Linked DNA regions of Callithrix jacchus. The protein of the gene in region 2 purifies or fractionates together with the protein of the main gene of each other region. This does not show direct contact. Links are inferred from orthologs where the notes say so. Each region holds a gene or a part of one and is shown on either strand. Other genes may lie near its edges.

The links. Proteins that work in one complex are often made in the same cells at the same time.
Region 1: the proteins of STX6 (region 2) and VTI1B purify together in Homo sapiens (affinity purification with mass spectrometry; 3 studies listed by BioGRID and IntAct, counting the BioPlex papers as one, with this or other methods). This does not show direct contact. The link is inferred for Callithrix jacchus from reciprocal best matches to the Homo sapiens genes STX6 and VTI1B.
Region 3: the proteins of STX6 (region 2) and VAMP4 purify together in Homo sapiens (co-immunoprecipitation; 5 studies listed by BioGRID and IntAct, counting the BioPlex papers as one, with this or other methods). This does not show direct contact. The link is inferred for Callithrix jacchus from reciprocal best matches to the Homo sapiens genes STX6 and VAMP4.
Region 4: the proteins of STX6 (region 2) and NSF purify together in Homo sapiens (affinity purification with mass spectrometry; 3 studies listed by BioGRID and IntAct, with this or other methods). This does not show direct contact. The link is inferred for Callithrix jacchus from reciprocal best matches to the Homo sapiens genes STX6 and NSF.

What each region holds. Positions count from the first base shown.
Region 1 is NC_133509.1:102,671,522-102,676,164, forward strand, and holds the start of VTI1B (vesicle transport through interaction with t-SNAREs homolog 1B), read right to left. Parts: upstream 2,846-4,643; 5' UTR 2,703-2,845; coding exon 2,588-2,702; intron 1-2,587. UniProt on the Homo sapiens protein: V-SNARE that mediates vesicle transport pathways through interactions with t-SNAREs on the target membrane. These interactions are proposed to mediate aspects of the specificity of vesicle trafficking and to promote fusion of the lipid bilayers.
Region 2 is NC_133519.1:39,280,957-39,284,936, reverse strand, and holds part of STX6 (syntaxin-6), read left to right. Parts: intron 1-158; coding exon 159-221; intron 222-3,445; coding exon 3,446-3,571; intron 3,572-3,980. UniProt on the Homo sapiens protein: SNARE promoting movement of transport vesicles to target membranes. Targets endosomes to the trans-Golgi network, and may therefore function in retrograde trafficking.
Region 3 is NC_133519.1:30,967,892-30,972,482, reverse strand, and holds the start of VAMP4 (vesicle-associated membrane protein 4), read right to left. Parts: upstream 2,846-4,591; 5' UTR 2,665-2,845; intron 1-2,664. UniProt on the Homo sapiens protein: Involved in the pathway that functions to remove an inhibitor (probably synaptotagmin-4) of calcium-triggered exocytosis during the maturation of secretory granules.
Region 4 is NC_133506.1:86,367,478-86,372,085, reverse strand, and holds the start of NSF (vesicle-fusing ATPase), read left to right. Parts: upstream 1-1,763; 5' UTR 1,764-1,805; coding exon 1,806-1,817; intron 1,818-4,608.

The DNA of each region.
Region 1 (4,643 bases), on a different chromosome or scaffold from region 2:
AAATAAATTTCAACATAAGTTTTAGAGAGACATTCAAACTATAGTAATAATGAATTCAATTTTCTATTTTTGCTCTGTCACCCAGGCTGGAGTGCAGTGGTGGCATCTTGGCTCACTGCAACCACTAGCTTCAGGGCCCAGGCGATCCTCCCACGTCAGACTCCCCAGGAGCTGGGACTACAGGCACCCACCACCAAGCCGGGCTAACTATTGTATTTTTTGTTGAGATGGGGTTTCACCATGTTGCCCAGGCTGGTCTCAAAATTCCTCAACACATCAGTATTCCTGCCTCAGCTTCCCAAAGGGCTGGGATTACAGGTGTGAGCCACCACTCCTCGACTGCAATCTACTTTTCTTTTTTTTTACTCTTTTCTTCAGTTCACTGCAACTCTGTCTCCTGAGTTCAAGTGATTCTCCTGCCTCAGTCTCCCGAGTAGCTGGGCCTACAGGCAGGTGACACCATGCACAGCTAATTTTTGTATTTTTAGTACAGATAAGGTTTCACTATGTTGGCCAGGCTGGTCCTGAACTTCTGACCTCAAGTGATCTGCCTGCCTTGGCTTCCCCAAATGCTGGGATTACTGGTGTGAGCCACTGCACCCAGCCTGCAGCCCACTTTTCAATCACATAAATCAGATCCCACCATGGTTCTACACAATACATTTTTTTTTCTTTTTTTTTTTTTTTTTCCAGGACGTGGCCTCTCTCTCTCTCCCAGGCTGGAGTGCAATGACACAATCTTGGCTCACTGCCACCTCCGCCTCCTGGGTTCAAGTGATTCTCCCCCCATCAACCTCTGGAGTAGCTGGGATTACAGGCAACTGCCATCATGTCTGGCTAATTTTTCTATTTTTAGTAAAGATGGGGTTTCACCATGTTGGCCAGGCTGGTCTCGAACTCCTGACCTCAAGTGATCCACCCGTCTCAGCCTCCCAAAGAGCTGAGATTACAGTCATGAGCTGGCACGTCCAGCCTGCACAATGCCTTTTAACCACATCCCATCATATTTAGGAAAAGTCTTTCACCATGGACCACAGGCCCTACATGATCTGGTCCTGCCTACCTCTCTCCCTTGCTCACCCCATTCCCAAGCACATGGAACCTCTTGCTCTTCTCTGAACACACCAAGCTCACTTCTGCTTAAGGGCCTTTGCTGTGTTATTCTCCCCTTCCGACAGTCACTTCTTCCAGATTTCTGGTTTACTCTCTCACTTCGTTCAAGTCTCTGTTCAAATGCCATTTCCCCAGAGAGGACTTTCACAACCACCCTATTTAAATCTGCAAGGGAAGGCAGATCACTTGAGGTCAGGAGTTAGAGACCAGCCTGGCCAACACAGTGACACCCTGTCTCCACAAAAAACACACACACACACAAATTAGCCAGGGGTGGTGGCATGCTTGTAATCCCAGCTATTCTGGAGGTTGAAGCAGGAGAATCACTTGAATCTGGAAAGTGGAGGTTGCAGTGAGCTATCGTGCCACTGCACTCTAGCCTGGGTGACAGAGTGAGACCCTCTCTCAAAAAATAAATAAATAATAACAACATAAAACTGAAGTCCCACCCCTATTCCTTTATCCTGATTTATTTTCCTGTATACTTTAACACTGCCTCTTAATAATTACATATTGTTTATCACCTACCTGCCAGAATGGGGATGTGCATGTCTTTTTCACTGTAATTTGCAATACTAACCAGCACCTAGAACAGTGCCTGGCACAAAGCAGCTTCATAATAAATATATGTTAAACACGTGAATTTCATTCTCACCACAGTCATTCAATTCCTATGACCTTGATTAATTCGTTGAGCAAACAACCAAACTCTGACCCTTAAGTAAAAGCAGTAAAACTTCAAACTTCAAAGTCTTATCCTTGACATCAAGTTCTATATGTTCGGAGGCCAAGAACTACAGTAGGTCTTCCTAAGGATTTAGGGCCGAAAAACGCTAGCTCCTCCAGACAGAACTCGTAGCAACCTGCTTCATGAAATTAAGGGGTAGTAAATAGTCTCAGCGGTATAAAATGTTCAAAACAAGGCCACATCTAAATGTCACAATTGGGTTTTAAATGTCCCCTTGTTGGTAAGTAACTGGTATTTACCAACACCCCCAAATTATGATTCCTTTGGGTTTTTAACCCTTTTTTTGTGCCATAGATCCTCTGACAGTCTAGTGAAAACTAGACCTGTCTTGAAACTAATACTTTCAAATGCATAAAAGAAACAAAAAACAGCTACGAAAGAAACCCATTCTACCACAAGACCGCAGATACAAAAGCCCCACTGCTCTGCTCTGTTTGCCGCAGTGAAAAAAGAGACGAGAAAATGTGGAAGGCCATGGAAGGATCCCAGGGAACTGAACCCCGACGTCCGTCCCGGGGCAACGTCCCCAGTTCACTCTCAGTGGCAGCAGGGAGACCTGGGGCTGGAACCCAGCCAGTCGTAGGGGGCGTGTCCGCGGACGCGGAGCGAGGAGACGCGGGCCCGGGGCTGGGAGGAAGGTGGGGGAATCTTCCTGCCGAAGCGCGCGGGGCCGAGCTCCCCACGGCGTGACCCCTCCACGGCGTGACCCCCCCGCCCCGGCCTCACCGGTCCCCGCCGTCCCCAGCAGCCGCTCGGGCACCCCTTGCAGGTCTTCATGGAGGCCGCGGAAGATCTCGTGCAGCTTCTCGAAATGCTCCGAGGAGGCGGCGGAGGTGGCCATGGCGCAGGCCGCGCTCGAACAGCGGCCACTGAGATTCGGGGCGCTGTGCCTTCTCCTAGCCCGGCGGTCAGCCGCCCAGCCCCGAGGCCATCACGGCGACCGCCGCGCCACAGCCGCCCAGGACGAGGTTCTTCCGGGGCCACGGCAGGGTCCTCCGGAGCCGGAACGCCCACCCTCTCCAGCCCGTGATTGCGGGAGCGCCGGCGTGAAAGCCTGACAGGAAGTCAGGCAACTGCGCGCCCCAGGCGACTCCTGAGGCAGCGGTGCCGCGCCGGGGCGAGCAGCAGTCGCGGAGTCCGAGAAGTGCCCGGTCCAGGGTGGGCAAAGGCGCCGCTGCGAAAGAGCCCTAGGGGACCTGCGAGACGGGCAGCTCGGCCGCCTTCTTCCCGGGTCCCCTCGGCGGGTGAGGGGGCGGGCGCTGCAGTGCACGCCGGGGGATGTAGTTTGGCTCCGAGAGCATCCCGTCCCGGGGTCGCGCGTTGTCCCGGCCGCGAGTTTCAGCTCTCGCCGCGGCAGTGGACTCCGGCCCGGTAGCGAGGTGGTTTGGTGTGTGTTTGTGTCTAGACGTCGTCCTCACTGTCATCGCGCTTTGCTTTGGCATCCTGACCCGACTTCATCATTTCGCGTTTTGACTGAATGTTAGCTTTTCAGCCCTGGAAAGATAGCTGGGCCGGGGGCTGTGCTTGCCATCGGGAGGTGGAGCACTTTCCTTGGGAGGCCCAGCGGCTCCCCACGCTTTCAGAAGTGGAACCCAGCCGGGTGAGTGGCTCGCGCCTGTAATCCCAGCACTTTGGAAGGCCGAGGTGGGAAGATTGTTTGAACCCAAGAGTTCGAGACCAGCCTGGGCACAATAGTGAAAGGTCTACCAGAAACCCAAAATAGGAGTCGGGCGTGGTGGCGCGCACTTTTGGCCCCAGCTACCCCAGAGGCTGAAGCAGAAGGATCACTTGAGCCCAGAAGGTTGTCTGCAGAAATCCCACCACTGCACTCCAGCTTGGGAGGCAGAGGGAGACCTTGTCTCCAAAAAACAAAAATTCAAAACAGAAACCCGGTTAGGATGAAATACTAACACAGAGATGACCAAGTCTGAGGTTACCGTCAATGTACTGTGTAAGTCCCACAACACAATGCTAGGACTTGTCACCGTACAGAAGTAGGGGGCACATGCAAAATACTCTAGCTGTCAGGCCTGCCTAGTGCACTAGGTTGCCTCGTGCACTTTTTCACAACAGGTGTTTGTCCTGCATAGGCACTGTGAGAGATCTGGGCATGTTGGTGAATAAAACATTTATTCTCTGCTCTTGGGGAATTGATAACCTGGTGTGGAAGGTGGACCTGGCTTCATTAGGTCCCATCTGCCACTGTGTCACGTGTTAACAATTACAAGGTCCTTTCCTGCACTCTCTGGGTATAAATTCCTATCTTAAGGTCGGGAGTGGTGGCTCACGCCTATAATCCCAGCAATTTGGGAGGCCAAGGTGGGCGAATCATTTGAGGTCAGGAGTTTGAGACCAGCCTGGCCAACATGATGAAACCCGTCTCTGCTAATGCAAAAATTAGCCGACCGTGGTGGTGAGCACCTGTAATCCCAGTGACTCGGGACGCTGAGGCAAGAGAATCGCCTGAACCCTGGAGACGGAGGTTGCCATGAGCTAAAGTTCGGGCCACTGCACTCCAGCCTGGGCAACAGAGCAAGACCCTATCTCAAAAAGATTAAATTCCTATTTTCACCGATTTCAGTTTGCTCAAGGTGTCTATTCTCAAATGTTTGCTTGAGAGCTCAATATTAAACTGCTTACAAATATTAAAAGATACATGAATGCTCAGGGGAAAATACTTTGCTAATTTATACCTCCTGGGCTCTCATTTTTATTAGATAAAGTTCATTAGCTGTTGATTCAACACACTTTGGTTGAGCTCTGAATATACACTGAGCACAGA
Region 2 (3,980 bases):
TCTTTTTGTTTTATTTTGAGATTGAAAATAAAGCCAAGAAATGCTATCTTCTTGTTTTTAAAAATAATAAATTGTGTGTTTTGCTGTTGTATGAAATGTTAACTCTAATTTTGTTTAAGGATGTGTTTCATTTGTTTTCCTATCTTCTTTCTCATTAGGACATGAAAGATCAGATGTCAGCTTCTTCCGTGCAGGCATTAGCTGAAAGAAAAAATAGACAGGTGAGAAAACACCAGAATATAATTATCAGTGAGAGAAAGTATACAGTTAGATATTTGAAATTTAAAAATGCTGACCATCCATGGATCATGTAATCAAGAGGAAGACCTCTGCATGCAGGCCCTGGTGTGACCATGGGAGGTTTTGTGACAGTCCAGGCAGCTGTCCCTGTACCCTGTCAGCGTTTCCCTCCCCTCTCTCACCTTCTGATTCTTTCCTGTGGGCTCCCATAGCACCTTTTGCCTACCCTTACTATGGCACTTGTCAGAGTACTTTTACTGTTTTCATGTGTTTATTCTGCACCTGTTGAGCACGTTCTGTGTGCTAGGCTCTTTTAAGGGCTATAATTACTTACTGTCTTTCTCTCTGCTGGGCCCCAGGCCCCTTGAGAGTGAGGAGAGATCTGTGTCTTGGTTTTTAGTTGTTGGGTTTTTTTTTTGAGCTCTCTAGTAGTTACTACATTGCCTACCCATGGAACACAATAGACATCTATGGATTGACATTTGATGTAAAGACATTAGAGGAACCTTAAACTTGTGTCTTAAATTTCTCTTTAAGTAGTTTTTTAAAATTACATACTTTGGCATATTTATAGAAACTGCTTTCTAATTGTTAAAATATAGTTCTTTAAAAAAATGTAGAATGGTCATCTAGAATTTGGACTTTAATTTAGATTGAAATTTGATTTAGACTTTTTTGGTGGGATAGAATGTTTTTTGCCTGTTGCTAAACTGTTAGGTGATTTTTTTATGGAAGTAGTTTTTTAAAATTCTGTGGATATCCATTTTTCTTAGGAGTAAACAGTAAATAGTATCATGAAAAATGATAGTTTGTTTTAAATGAATTATGATTCCAGAAAGTTACGAATTGTCCGTATAGTAGGCTCTTGAGAAATCTTGCTATTTTTACTTAACTAGCAATCAGTACTTTATAACATAAATCCTTACTTTATACCTGTGGGTGTTTGTCAAGCCACTTCATTTTGAAAACAAATATGAAAGCTTGAAGAAGGGGGAGGGTTCTATAAATATCACCTCACTTAATTTTTCTGTTTGCTTTTCTTGCATTCCATTTTTCAAGTCATTGTTTTGTTTTTGGCTTTTTAATCTTATTTGCCTCCTTTGCTTTCTTTTTGATCAGTACAGCTAGGAAGAGCCACTAGCTGGTTCATTCCGTCTGGCTCCCTCTCTTGAAAGAAGCTAGTGAATGGCCTCAAGTTGGCTAGTTTTGGAGTTCTCTTCTCATTTGCACTTGACCTTATAGGAAGTGGAAGTACCTGAAGTAGTTGTGGCAGTGAAGTTGGTAACACCTATGCTGCCACTCTAACTTGAATGTTTTATTCTCTAGATAGTATAGGCTACTATCCACATTAGTATGGGCTAATGTGGATAACATGGGCATATGTATTGCCTGTCCAAGTGTGGCCTGGAATTTGGTTTTAGGCCATGAGCGAAATGTCAAGTTGCAAATGTTTAAGGAATGGCAAGGCCAGGGCTTTCTAAGCCTCCTGCAGGCCTGGGCCTTGCTGTGTCATGCCAGGCACCAGGTATTGTGCTGCTCCCTCCACCAACCCTGCTTTGGCACCCACGCACAGGTGCATCTCCCAGCGCTTGGCTCCTCTCTCAATCTCTTTCCTATTAGACCTCTGGGGTCAGACCAATGAACTTTAAGCACCTTTACAATAAAATGTGGATGATTTGCCCTATACTTAGCTCTGCCTAAGTGTAGACCATGGAAAATGTAGGCAAAATAGCCCTGTGACCTCAGGAGCACATAAGGCCCTGGTGATGTCCCAGTTCACTGTCCTTAGGCATTACAGCCTTTTTCTGACCCTAAAAAAATTGTCACTAGTTCCTCATGTCTTCCATAGAGGTCCTTAGAGTCTGGATCAGAATGAGCAGGATCTTTTCAGTGTTGACAGCCCTAAGACCAGGTCAGGGCAGAGCCACCCACAAAAACCCTTGGATCTGCTTTACACCAGAGACAGTCACCATCTAGCCTCTTGACTGGACTGCCCTGGGCCACTGGAAGCTCTTGTAAGAAGAGCTTCTAATAACTGAGCCTCTTAGAAACTCTGCTAATAACAACCTCAGAACATAGCACACTGCATCCCGAGCTGCCCTGATTGTCCCTGAAGTCTGGCCATTTGATGGAGCTCACCCCTTGCAGTCTGGAATAAGTCAGTGCCACTATGAAGGAAGATCATGAGGCTGTTAGAAGGGTTTCAGATAGAACCAAGTAAACAGTCAGGCTTTTAATAGTGCCAGAGATTTTTTTTTTAATTACCTAGTAGGAAATGGCAACTCAACAAGAAAAAAAGTCTTAGTTGCTGGCGTCTTCTGGCTCTTGGCGCACGGCTGGTGTGAGCAGTTACTTTGACCTGTCAGAAAGGCTTGTGGGAATCTGGTCAGAACCAACTGTGGAGACTGAGCTCTCACATTCCGGCCTGGCCTCTTCATGTGAGGAAGACATACCCAACCTTACCCATTTATGGCTGCAGACTTCCCTGAATTCGTACTTCAGAAACCCAGCCCTGTTGTCTGGGAGCCGTGGTGGAAGACTGACTTTAGGGCAGCCCTTGCCTAGGTTGCCAAGGTCAGGGATTCCTTGTGGTCACACCTGCCTGGTGAAGGAACCCCAGTTGTCATCTGGAAAGCCTGAAGGACCCTGGATTCTATTCATGGGTTAAACTTTACAGACATTGATGGTTCTTAAGCCTTTTGTGTGTGAAGGACTATGGCTTACCTGCTTGTAGTTTGAGGGACCTCTCCTTTTCCCCCCACCAAAAACCCCAAAACTTCCCTGGGTCACACTTTTCTTAAAAAAGTACTTTAGATCTTTGGAATCAGGTTGACTGGAACCTATGGGTTGCTGAAGTTCCACAGGTGCCAGGAAGAGCTCTTTGACAAAAGATTGAGTGCTTTTCAGTTATAACACAGTATCTAGATGGGCGTTTGCTGATTTAGCAGGCATTTATTTGCACTTTAAGGGGACAAAGCCCATTGTGAGGCCTGTTGGGAGAGCTTGAACACAGAGAGGGCCCTTCTGGAATTCCTTAAATTGTACCACACAGGCACCAGACTACACCACTAGATAAAAGCCTGGCCCAGGGGAAAATAGATGATAAGAAATGTGAAAACCCTTTATATCACTCTCGATGCTTCACTTGTTCAGAGATAGTAACCGTTTGTTTCTCCTGACTCCTCCGGTTGTCCTGCTCACACAGGCACTGCTGGGAGACAGTGGCAGCCAGAACTGGAGCACTGGAACAACAGATAAATACGGGCGCCTGGACAGAGAGCTCCAGCGAGCCAATTCTCATTTCATTGAGGAGCAGCAGGCACAGCAGCAGGTACCCCAAGGGGCCCAGGCTTAGGATGGGGCAGTGGGAAAAAATAAACACACCTTAGTTCCTTTGCCAGCCATGGGGTCTCATGGCTTAATGACAAGCGGGGTAAGCCAGAGCTTGTCCTGTGGTTTATTATGTTTAAATATTTAATGATTGCATGCATAAAGAGTTTCAATCTTCACAGCATGACTGCTTCAAGAGAACCAAGCTCAGCCAGGCATGGTGGTTTATACCTTTAGTCCCAGCTACTCAGGAGGCTGAGGCCAGAGGATCCCTTAGCCCAGGAGTTCAAGGCTACAGTGAACTTTGATTGTGCCTTTGCACTTTAGCCTGGATGACAGAGCAAGACCCTGTTTCTAAAAGCAAAGAATCAAGTGGCCTGGTGAGGTGGCTGACACCTGTAATCCCAGCA
Region 3 (4,591 bases), about 8.3 Mb from region 2:
CCAATGGCCAATGATGTAATCGATCATGTCTACTAATGAAGACTCCATAAAACCCAAAAAGGACAGGGTTCAGAGGGCTTCCTGATAACTGAACAAGTAGAGGGTTCCTGGATGGTGGCACACCTGGAGAGGGCATGGAAGCTCTGTACCCCCTGCCCTATGCACCTCTTCAATCTGGCTGTTGATCTCTATTTTTTTGTAATATCCTTTATAATAAACCAGTAAATAAAGTGTTTCTCTGAATTCTGTGAGCCACTCTAGCAAATAAATTGAAGACAAGGAATTTGGGGAACTCTGATTTATAGCCAGTTACTGGAAGCACAGGTAAAAACACCTGGAACTTGTGATGGGCACTCGAGGTGCAGAGGAATGTTGCAAGATTAAGCCCTCAACCTGCAGAATCTGATGCTATCTCTAGGTATAAAGTACCAATTGAATTAGAGGACACCCAGCTGGAGAACCTGATGCAGAATTGCCTACTTGCTCATGAGGAGAAATCTTTTTGGGGTCAGAGGAGTATTCTCTGTTGAGAGAGACTAGGAGAAATTCAGTTTTTCTTTCATCAAAACAACTGGATTAAACAAAGCTAGTTTTCTTTACTACAGAATGACTCAAATCCTCTTACATGCTAAATGCATTGTGACTTTCTAGGAAAATGCTTGCATATGCAACATATTAAAATTTTTTTTAAGAAAAAGTTGTTCTATGCAAATAATGAATTTTCAGTATTTTGGACTAGATGGTAGATGAATACCCAGCAATTAAGGATAGCTCAGAAATACTGAATGTTTTACTATATGCTAGGCACTGTGCTCAGTGATACACATGCATTTTCTTTTAGTCTTTATGATGCTTCTTTGAAGTAGGCACTAAGAAACTAGTAGAAAACTAAAGTTTAGTAACGATAATGTTAGTCACTACACTCATTGAAACGGCAGAGATACAGGCCTAAATCAATCAATGGCAATCCATTATCAGTTTTAATTATTTGTTCAATTAGTTGCCCATCAGGTTTACAGAATTCTGTTCTAGAGAGACTCATTTTCCGGTAACAACCCAATAGTCCTGTTTCCTTGCCCACAAGAAGCAGCATTTAGACCTTTAAATTACGTAAAATTAGACATCAGAAAGAATAACCCCAAAGTCTGGTTTCCTAAACCAAATAAAAGTAATATTTTAAGTTAGCTACTTGTCAAAACAAATGGACACAAACACTCTTCTTTGATAAGAAATGCTTCCAAATCAGAAATTATTCACTTGTAACAAAAAACAAACTCTTGCTGCCTAACAGCTCTTGAGTTCTTGGTTCCACAGTATTTGTCACATACATCTGGCCCTTTTATTCCTCACACTTTGATTTCAGAATAATTCATTTATGCAGAAATGTAACAGAATGCATGGAAAAAACAGATGACAAAGCAAATTACTGAAGAACTTGTGCTTTTAACTATATCTGTATTTAGATTTTAACCCCATGCATAGAGGCTGCCTCAACACCCCAAAGCAAACAACAGGCAGACTTACATAATGCGTTTATGAGACATATAGTAAAACTACAATCTTAAGGATGGGCAAACCTCATATTCAGGTCTCTCAATCCCAAGAAACCATGTCCAACAGATAGAAAACCCATCCGCAAAGCAGTAGACAGATTAATTAGCTACCTTGATGAAATCTGATGTTATTTGCAACTACTGATTATTTATTAGTATCTGATGATACGGGTATCCAACAACTAGTAGAAGTAAATAATGCTCAGAAAGGAGACTAGGATAGAGTCTGCTTAAGATTTCCCCTACAAAAAACATACGTGAATTCAGGTGTTGGTGACTAGGAATACATGTAAATAAGAGAGCCATCATGTACTTCCACATTGAGGACAGACCACCACTATACAATTCACTTACACAGTCACATCACCGTATGCTTCTTATGCATCAGCATATACTTAAACGTTTATGTATGAATTTTTGTAAGCAGTACGTTATTTAGTCAATAGCTTTGAATCTGGGCAGAGGCTCTCCTTTTCCCAGCCTCCATTCCCTTTTTAACTCCTCTTCCTTGTCTGTCATCAGCGTCTTGCTCGATGCAGTTTCATAGAAATAAAGTAACTTGGATGGACACAGACCAAAGATGTTATTAGCAAAACCTGTCAAGTGTAACGATTCACCCCCACCTTCTGGTCATTACAAACACAGCAGGGTTGGCGCTCTTTCTCCCGAGCCCTTTAAATACACAATTCGAAGCAGCTCTGCTCACCCCCCAACACCCAATCTGTCGCACCAGGCCACGTCCCTCGAAGTATCTGCTCCTAACGTTGGCCCTTCCTGCCCCATGGTACTCCCTGGCATTCCTGACTGCCTCCCACTCTTAACAAACCTTCCCCATCCATGGCACTGTTCTCTCCCCATCGCCCCAGAGTACCCCTCAATTCCAATTCTTCTCCCCTCAACTACTCCCCGTCCGCACACCCCTGTCCTCGTCTTCCTTCCTCACGGTACCCCCGGCCCCAGCTTTTTCCCACTCTGGGGTCCCTTCCTAGATCCCCGAGGCCGGCTAACCAGCCCAACTCGGACGTCGAGGGGCGGCGAGGCAGGGGCGTCATCTTCATTTCCTCCCTCCTCACAGCAGCCCCTCCGGCTGGGAACAGGCCAGCGCCAGTACCTGAGGCTCCCGGGGAACTCCCGGCAGCTCTCCCGGGCGGGCGGTGCTGGACGGGCGGGGGAAGGAGTGGGAAGCTGAGGTAAAAAGCTGGGAGTGGGGGGACGGTGGGTGCGGATCCGGCGTCGGCCGCAGCTCCGCAGCAGCGCCTCCGCTCACCGAGCCGATCGGCGCTCGGCGGCCTGGCGCCAGGCGGAGGGGGCGGGTCCAGGGCGCGGAGATAGTCGAGGAAGTCGATTCCGCCGGGCGCTCTTCACCTGGAAGAGCCCTGACCCTCAAGGATTTTAGATGCAGCTCCTCCCTGTGCTTTAGGGGATGAGTGACCACTGGTTCTCCAGGTTCCGGTCGGGATCCGGCGTGCGTGGAGGGCGTTTATGGGAGGGATGGGAAACTCAGAACTGCTCGGGTCGGGGTGCTGGCTGGGGTGATAAGGCGTTTACAAAGAAGGTAGTGCTTTGTGCCAGATCCGTCCCTCGGGCTGACTACGTTGGGTGGCAAGAGGAGGGTGGCTTGCGGCTCGAGGACCTGCTTCTGTTTCGTCTGGGGCCTTTTCTGAAGAAAGAAGTTCTGTTTGATCCCCTGTTTGCAGAATTAGAGCTGGACTTGGAAAGAGATTTTAATGGTTCCTAGGTCAGCCTCCTTTCTTTAGGTAGGAGAAATATCTGGTTCAGAGAGGAGATTGACTTAAAGTTACACAGCTAGTTTAGATAGATAAGGGACGGCGGCTCCGTGTTCTTTTCCCGGTATCCGTTAGTTGTAACCTGAAAGCCTTCAGGTTTCAGGGAAATCGCCCTTGCCTGGCCATTCCGCTGCTCTGCCCATGCTTCCCTCACTCCTTCCTCCTCCGCCCAGTTTGGTATCATATTTAGATCTCCAAGCCCACAGATGCTGGCTACCAAAAACAATTCCTAATTTTGTTTTTCCGTTCTCTTATTTATTATCCATTCCTCCCACGCCCCAGCTGGAGTATTTTACTCATTCAATCATATATCCACTATACATCTTTTAACATTAATACAGTATTTATGGGTCCTTTGTTGATATAGTATTTTAACTGTCTGAAATACCGTGCCAGGCTCTCTCCAAAGACAAAAATAAGGGCGTGTTCAGAAACAAAAGTAGACCAGAAAACAGCAGAAGATCTGAGGACACTAAAGGAAGAAATAGACACCTTCATAAAAAAGTTGCTCTTCGTTTGATGTGTAATTTTATGCAAACATGCACTAACGAATTTGAAAGATGCCATGACTAGGGCAATGATACTCAATGCTAAGTGATTCACTTGGAGTTGAATCACCTGGAAAGCTTTTAAAACCACTGTGGGTGGGGGGGCGGTGGGGAACTACTGGAAAACTTTTTAAATCACCTGGAAAGCTTTTTAAACTACTCAGGTGCCCACGTGCTACCTAGATTCTGATTTAAATGGTCTAAGACTTAGAAACAGCTGTCGGGTTTTCAGTTGAAGGTTCTAAAAAACTTGATGTTAAACTCAGGTGTCTGTGTTTATTGCTCCAGAGCCCGGCTGACTTGGACTGAAACGGCCCACCTAGAATAGAAGCCTCTCAAGGTTTGCATCTCTGTCTGGGCATGACAGTGGGACTACTCCTAGTGACCCAGACATTATTTTTTCTTCTACAGATTTTTTTTTTGAGACAAGTTCTCACTTTTTCCCCTAGGCTGGAGTGCAGTGACATGATCATAGCTCACCACAGCTCTGAACTCCTGGGCTAACGTGATCTTGTCTGTGCCTCCCAAGTAGCTGGGATTACAGCCATGAGCAGCTGTGCCCAGCACTTACAGTTGATTTTATATCTGCATATTTGCATGTTATAGAATACTTTCTGGCTTTGGTGTCTTAGCCAATTAGAGCTTTAGCTAGTTATAGCCTCATCTCTTATACATAGACAGCTTAAGGTGTGATCAGTGAGCT
Region 4 (4,608 bases), on a different chromosome or scaffold from region 2:
TATTTGGACAAAATCTCTTTGAATTCTACGTTCAAATTCAAAGTGTCAAAAAGAAAAAAAAATACAACCATTAAGCTTATTTAATTATACCTCTTATTATACAAATAAGGAAACTAGGCAGAGTGTGGTGGCTCACCTCTGTAATCCCAGAACTTTGGGAGGCCGAGGCAGTGGATCATCTGAGGTCAGGAGTTTGAGACCAACCTGGACAACAGGGCAAAACCCTGTCTCTACTAGAAATACTAAATTTAGCTGGGCGTGGTGGCAGGTGCCTGTACTACCAGCCACTTGGGAGGCTGAGGCAGGAGAATTGCTGGAACCCAGGAGGTGGAGGTTGCAGTGAACCGAGATCACACCACTGTACTCCAGCCTGGGTGACAGAGCACGACTCCTTCTCAAAAACAAACAAAAGCAAATAAGGAAACTGGGCTCAGAGAGATGAAGCTATACAGGTGAGGGCAGATAGGGACAAAGAAAATAACCCAACCCTTTGGATTTCCCAAGCCATTCTAACACTTGTTTTTACAGCTTCTGCAAGTTAGTAGATCAGAACTCACTAGTTTCCTACCTTTCCTGATCCACACAAGATTTAACTAACATCTGATTTGATCAATGAAACACCCTGGTCCTCAAGTTCAGTGTGAGACTTAATGAAATTGGCGTGAATTTTTCTTCTGTCCCTAGTTCATCTTCAGATCACTCTCTGATTTTAATAGTTCTCAAATTTAAATCACTACGCATGCTCAGCTTCTCATTTCCCTTCTTTCCTCATGTTGGGGGAAAAATCCGATTTATTCTATTTAACTGTGAGAAATGAAAGCTAACAAATCCTATAATTCTCTATTGTCTTGTGCAAATATGAAGCGAGAAATTTAAGTGGGGTCAATAAAGGCACTAGGGAATCCATTTGGCAGAATCTTTCTCCTCCCAGGGTGCTCGAAATCAGATACTCCGAGATTCCAGTGGAGAAATGGTATGGTGGCAACATCAAGGTTCAACAAAGCTGAATTTAGGGCATATTTTATTCAAATTCTACCATATATATTTTCTAAAACGAAATAAAGCTGGGGAAAAAGTTGTGGAAGATACTCATTGCCTTTTATTTATAAAGGCAAATACTTAATAATAAAAATAAAATAATGTATAAAAACAATCACAATTCACTTTCAAATCTGAAAAATATATTGAGTTTTCCAGGTTACACATAAAACTGCCAACGATGAAAATCCCAGGTTGAAAACAAGTACGCCTACAAAGAAAAGTCTGAATTCATGGAGAATTTGAATCCAGAACCAACTCCACGGAGCTGATCGTTTCCGGGGGAAGCCAGGGACCGCACCGGGCGCTCTCACCGGCCAGACCACGTTTAAGTGAGTCTGGAAGCACAGAGCAAAATGGTCATTCGGGGGCGAACAGCACCTGGCAAAGGGATAAGTGAATGGAAACATCAAAGCCCTTGCGACAAATTCCGGCGCGAACGGCCAGGAGGGATGAGACTCAGGGGAGCGGCCTTCGACCGCGCGGCGGACGGATGTCCAAGCTGAAAACAAAGTCACCCGCCGAAAACTGTCCCTGCAGCCGACAGGAAGCAGGAAGCTCCAGCCAAAATGGCGCCGCCGCTCTGCCCGCCCCGCGCGCCCCCGGCGGCCACCCAGCCCGCGCGCGCCCTGTGGAGCGAGGACGCCGGGGACGCGGCCGGGGACGTGCGCGCCTGCGCGAGGGCGGGCGGCGGGGACGCGCGCGCGGCGGGGGCGGGTTCTGCTGAGTGCTGGGCTGCAGCCGCCGAGCCGGACGTGTTGGCGAAGATGGCGGGCCGGGTGAGTGCCGGTCAGGGAGCCCAGGCTCGAGGCAGGGGCGCCGGGCTCGCGGGCACTCCGGGGTCCGGGCAGCCCCAGGGGAGGGAGTGTGAATTCTAGCAATGGGGCGAGCGGCCAGGGCAGGGCTTGAGGGGAGCAGGGGAGCGGTAGAAGGGGATTAGCCCTCCTCAACAACTCCACCCCCCTCGAGGGGAGATGACCCCCTCATTACCCGCGTCTGCTGCGCCTCCCTTCATCCTCCCTTCCCATCCCTTGGAGCTTGTTTCCCTCGTCCTCCACACAGCCCCAGGGTCGCGGTCGCCGAAGCCTCTTCTGACGGGCTCTGGGGGTCTCTCCGCACCCCATTGCGAGGGCTTTTTAGGGGGCGCCGGAGTAACTGCGGGGAACACGTCTGCTGCATTCGGGACGAGGGGTGTGGGAAAGATAATCAGGAACTGGTGTTTGGCTCTTCACAAATAAAAGGTTGTTGGGAAAGAGGAAGGGGGTGCCAATGACTTTTAGTGTTAAAGCCCGGCCATTGGGGGACCTGTCAACTGTCGGGTCAGGCAGGAATTGGCTTTAGCTTGGCGCGAGGATGGATTTGGGGTGTCACGTTTTGTTTTTATGAATGACGGTCGCTTCGAATGCAGCAGGATATGCTGTAGTTTCAGGGTTTTACATTTACTTCCTCATTTAGCCTTTAGGATTCCTGGGTAGGATGGGTTTGGCTAGGAGGGATAGAGCTGGTGAGTGCTGTATTGCAGTTTGCCTTGAGCTAAAAAGCTGTCAAGGCATGAGTCCTGCCCAGAGATTACACTGGTCATAAAACTGAGGACATTAACTGCGTCACTGGGGGGCGAAAGATGTGCTTGACTGATCCGTTTATGCCAGAATATTTGAATAAGTTTGCGTAGATTTATGCGTATATGCAAATGCCCTATCTAAAGGAACTTGTAGGTCATGAGATCCTAGAGTCAGAAGGGACCTAAAAGAAAGGTCATTTAGCTTGGCTTCTTTTGCTTCCTTTCCCCTGTAGCCTCCTTTTAAGGCTAATCCTTCCAATACTTCAGACTCTAGCTGTATATTCACCTGCTCCTTCTTAACATAATCAAGCTTCTCTATCTTAAAACAAACCCTTCCCCCACCCCTACAGCTGTCACCTTTTCCCTTACCGCTTTACAGCAGGAAATTTGATAGAGTTGTCTGTTGTCTTCCATTTGCTTACCACCTACTCACCCCTCAACCTACTGCAGTCTGATTTCTGCCCCATCATCGCACTGAAGCCTATCCTTCAACTTGATAATTTTCAATCCTTGTCTTACTTGATGTCTCAGCAGCGTTTGACGTTGCTGACCATGGTCTCCTTGACAGAAAGCACTCTTCCCATGTCTTCTGGGATGCCTCACTCCTGGTTTGACTCTGACCTCTCTTTTGCAGACTCACCCTCCTCTACTTTGTTATCCATTGCTGGTATTTCCTCAAAGGCCATCTTCTCTCAATTTTCTGCTCAATTTCTTCTAAGCCCATAGCTACAATTGTCTATATGCTAGTGATTCTCAATATTTTACCCCCAGTCCAGATATGCCCTTTAAGTTCCAGGTTAATACGTCCAACTGCCTATTTAAAATCCAGCCCCCTGGACTGGGTGCAGTGGCTCACACCTGTAATCCCAGCACTTTAGAGGCCGAGGTGGGTGGATCACCTGAGGTCAGAAGTCCGAGACCAGTCTGGCCAACATGGTGAAACCCCATCTCTACTAAAAGTACAAAAAAATTAGCTGGGCGTGGTGGCATGTGCCTGTAATCCCAGCCACTAGGGAGGCTGAGGCAGGGGCATTGCTTGAACCAGGGCGGTGAAGGTTTCAGTGAGCCAAGATCGCGCCACTGCACTCCAGCCTGGGTGACAGAGCGAGACTCTGTCTCAAAATAATAATGATAATAATAAACAAAAATAAAATCAAAGCCCCTGAAACTCAGCTTGTCCAACCCTGAACTCAGGATCTTAGCCCACCTAAGTTGTGCAGATGCTCCTCGACTTAACGATGGAGCTACCTTCCAATAAACCCACTGTACGCTGAAAGTATCAGAAGGTGAAAATGCATTTACTACACCTGATTTACCTAATATCGTAGCTTAGCCTATCCTACTTTCTTTACACATGCCCAGAACACTTACATTAGCCTACACTTGGGCAAAATCATCTTACATAAACCTATATTATAAAATGTTGGATACCTCATGTCATTTATTGCTGTGCTGATAGTGAAAAGCAGAATGGTTGTGTAGGTCCTCAAAAACCCATCACCTTCGCCCGATTATAAAGTTGAAAAACCATGTTAAGTCAAACCATTGTAAGTCAGGGATCATCTGCATCTATCCAGTGAGATAGGAATAGCTCACTAAATGATACCATCATCCATCCAGTTATATAAGCTGGGAATCTGGGGGAGGGAGAGGGTGGGTCACCCTTTGTACTCTTCTTTTAGCATGTCCTCTGCCCTACCTTCAGGTAAAAGTTTTCAGAGTTCTGCTCCTACCCCCTATAAATGTATTTAATTAGGGCCAAAGACTCTGGCTTGGGGGAATCATTGCTTTAAACTAGATCCAAATCACCATTGGACTAGCTGGACTGGTCACATGGGTTCTGTCATTTTAACCTAAAAATCTCCAGTCTGTCCAGCTTTCTACATCTTCATTTTTACCTACTTTTCCCAAACTACCATCATCTCTGGTCTGGACTACTGCAGGAAGCTCCCAAGTAGTCTTCTTTATTTTTTGAGACGGAGTTTTGCTCGTCACCCAGGCTGGGGTGC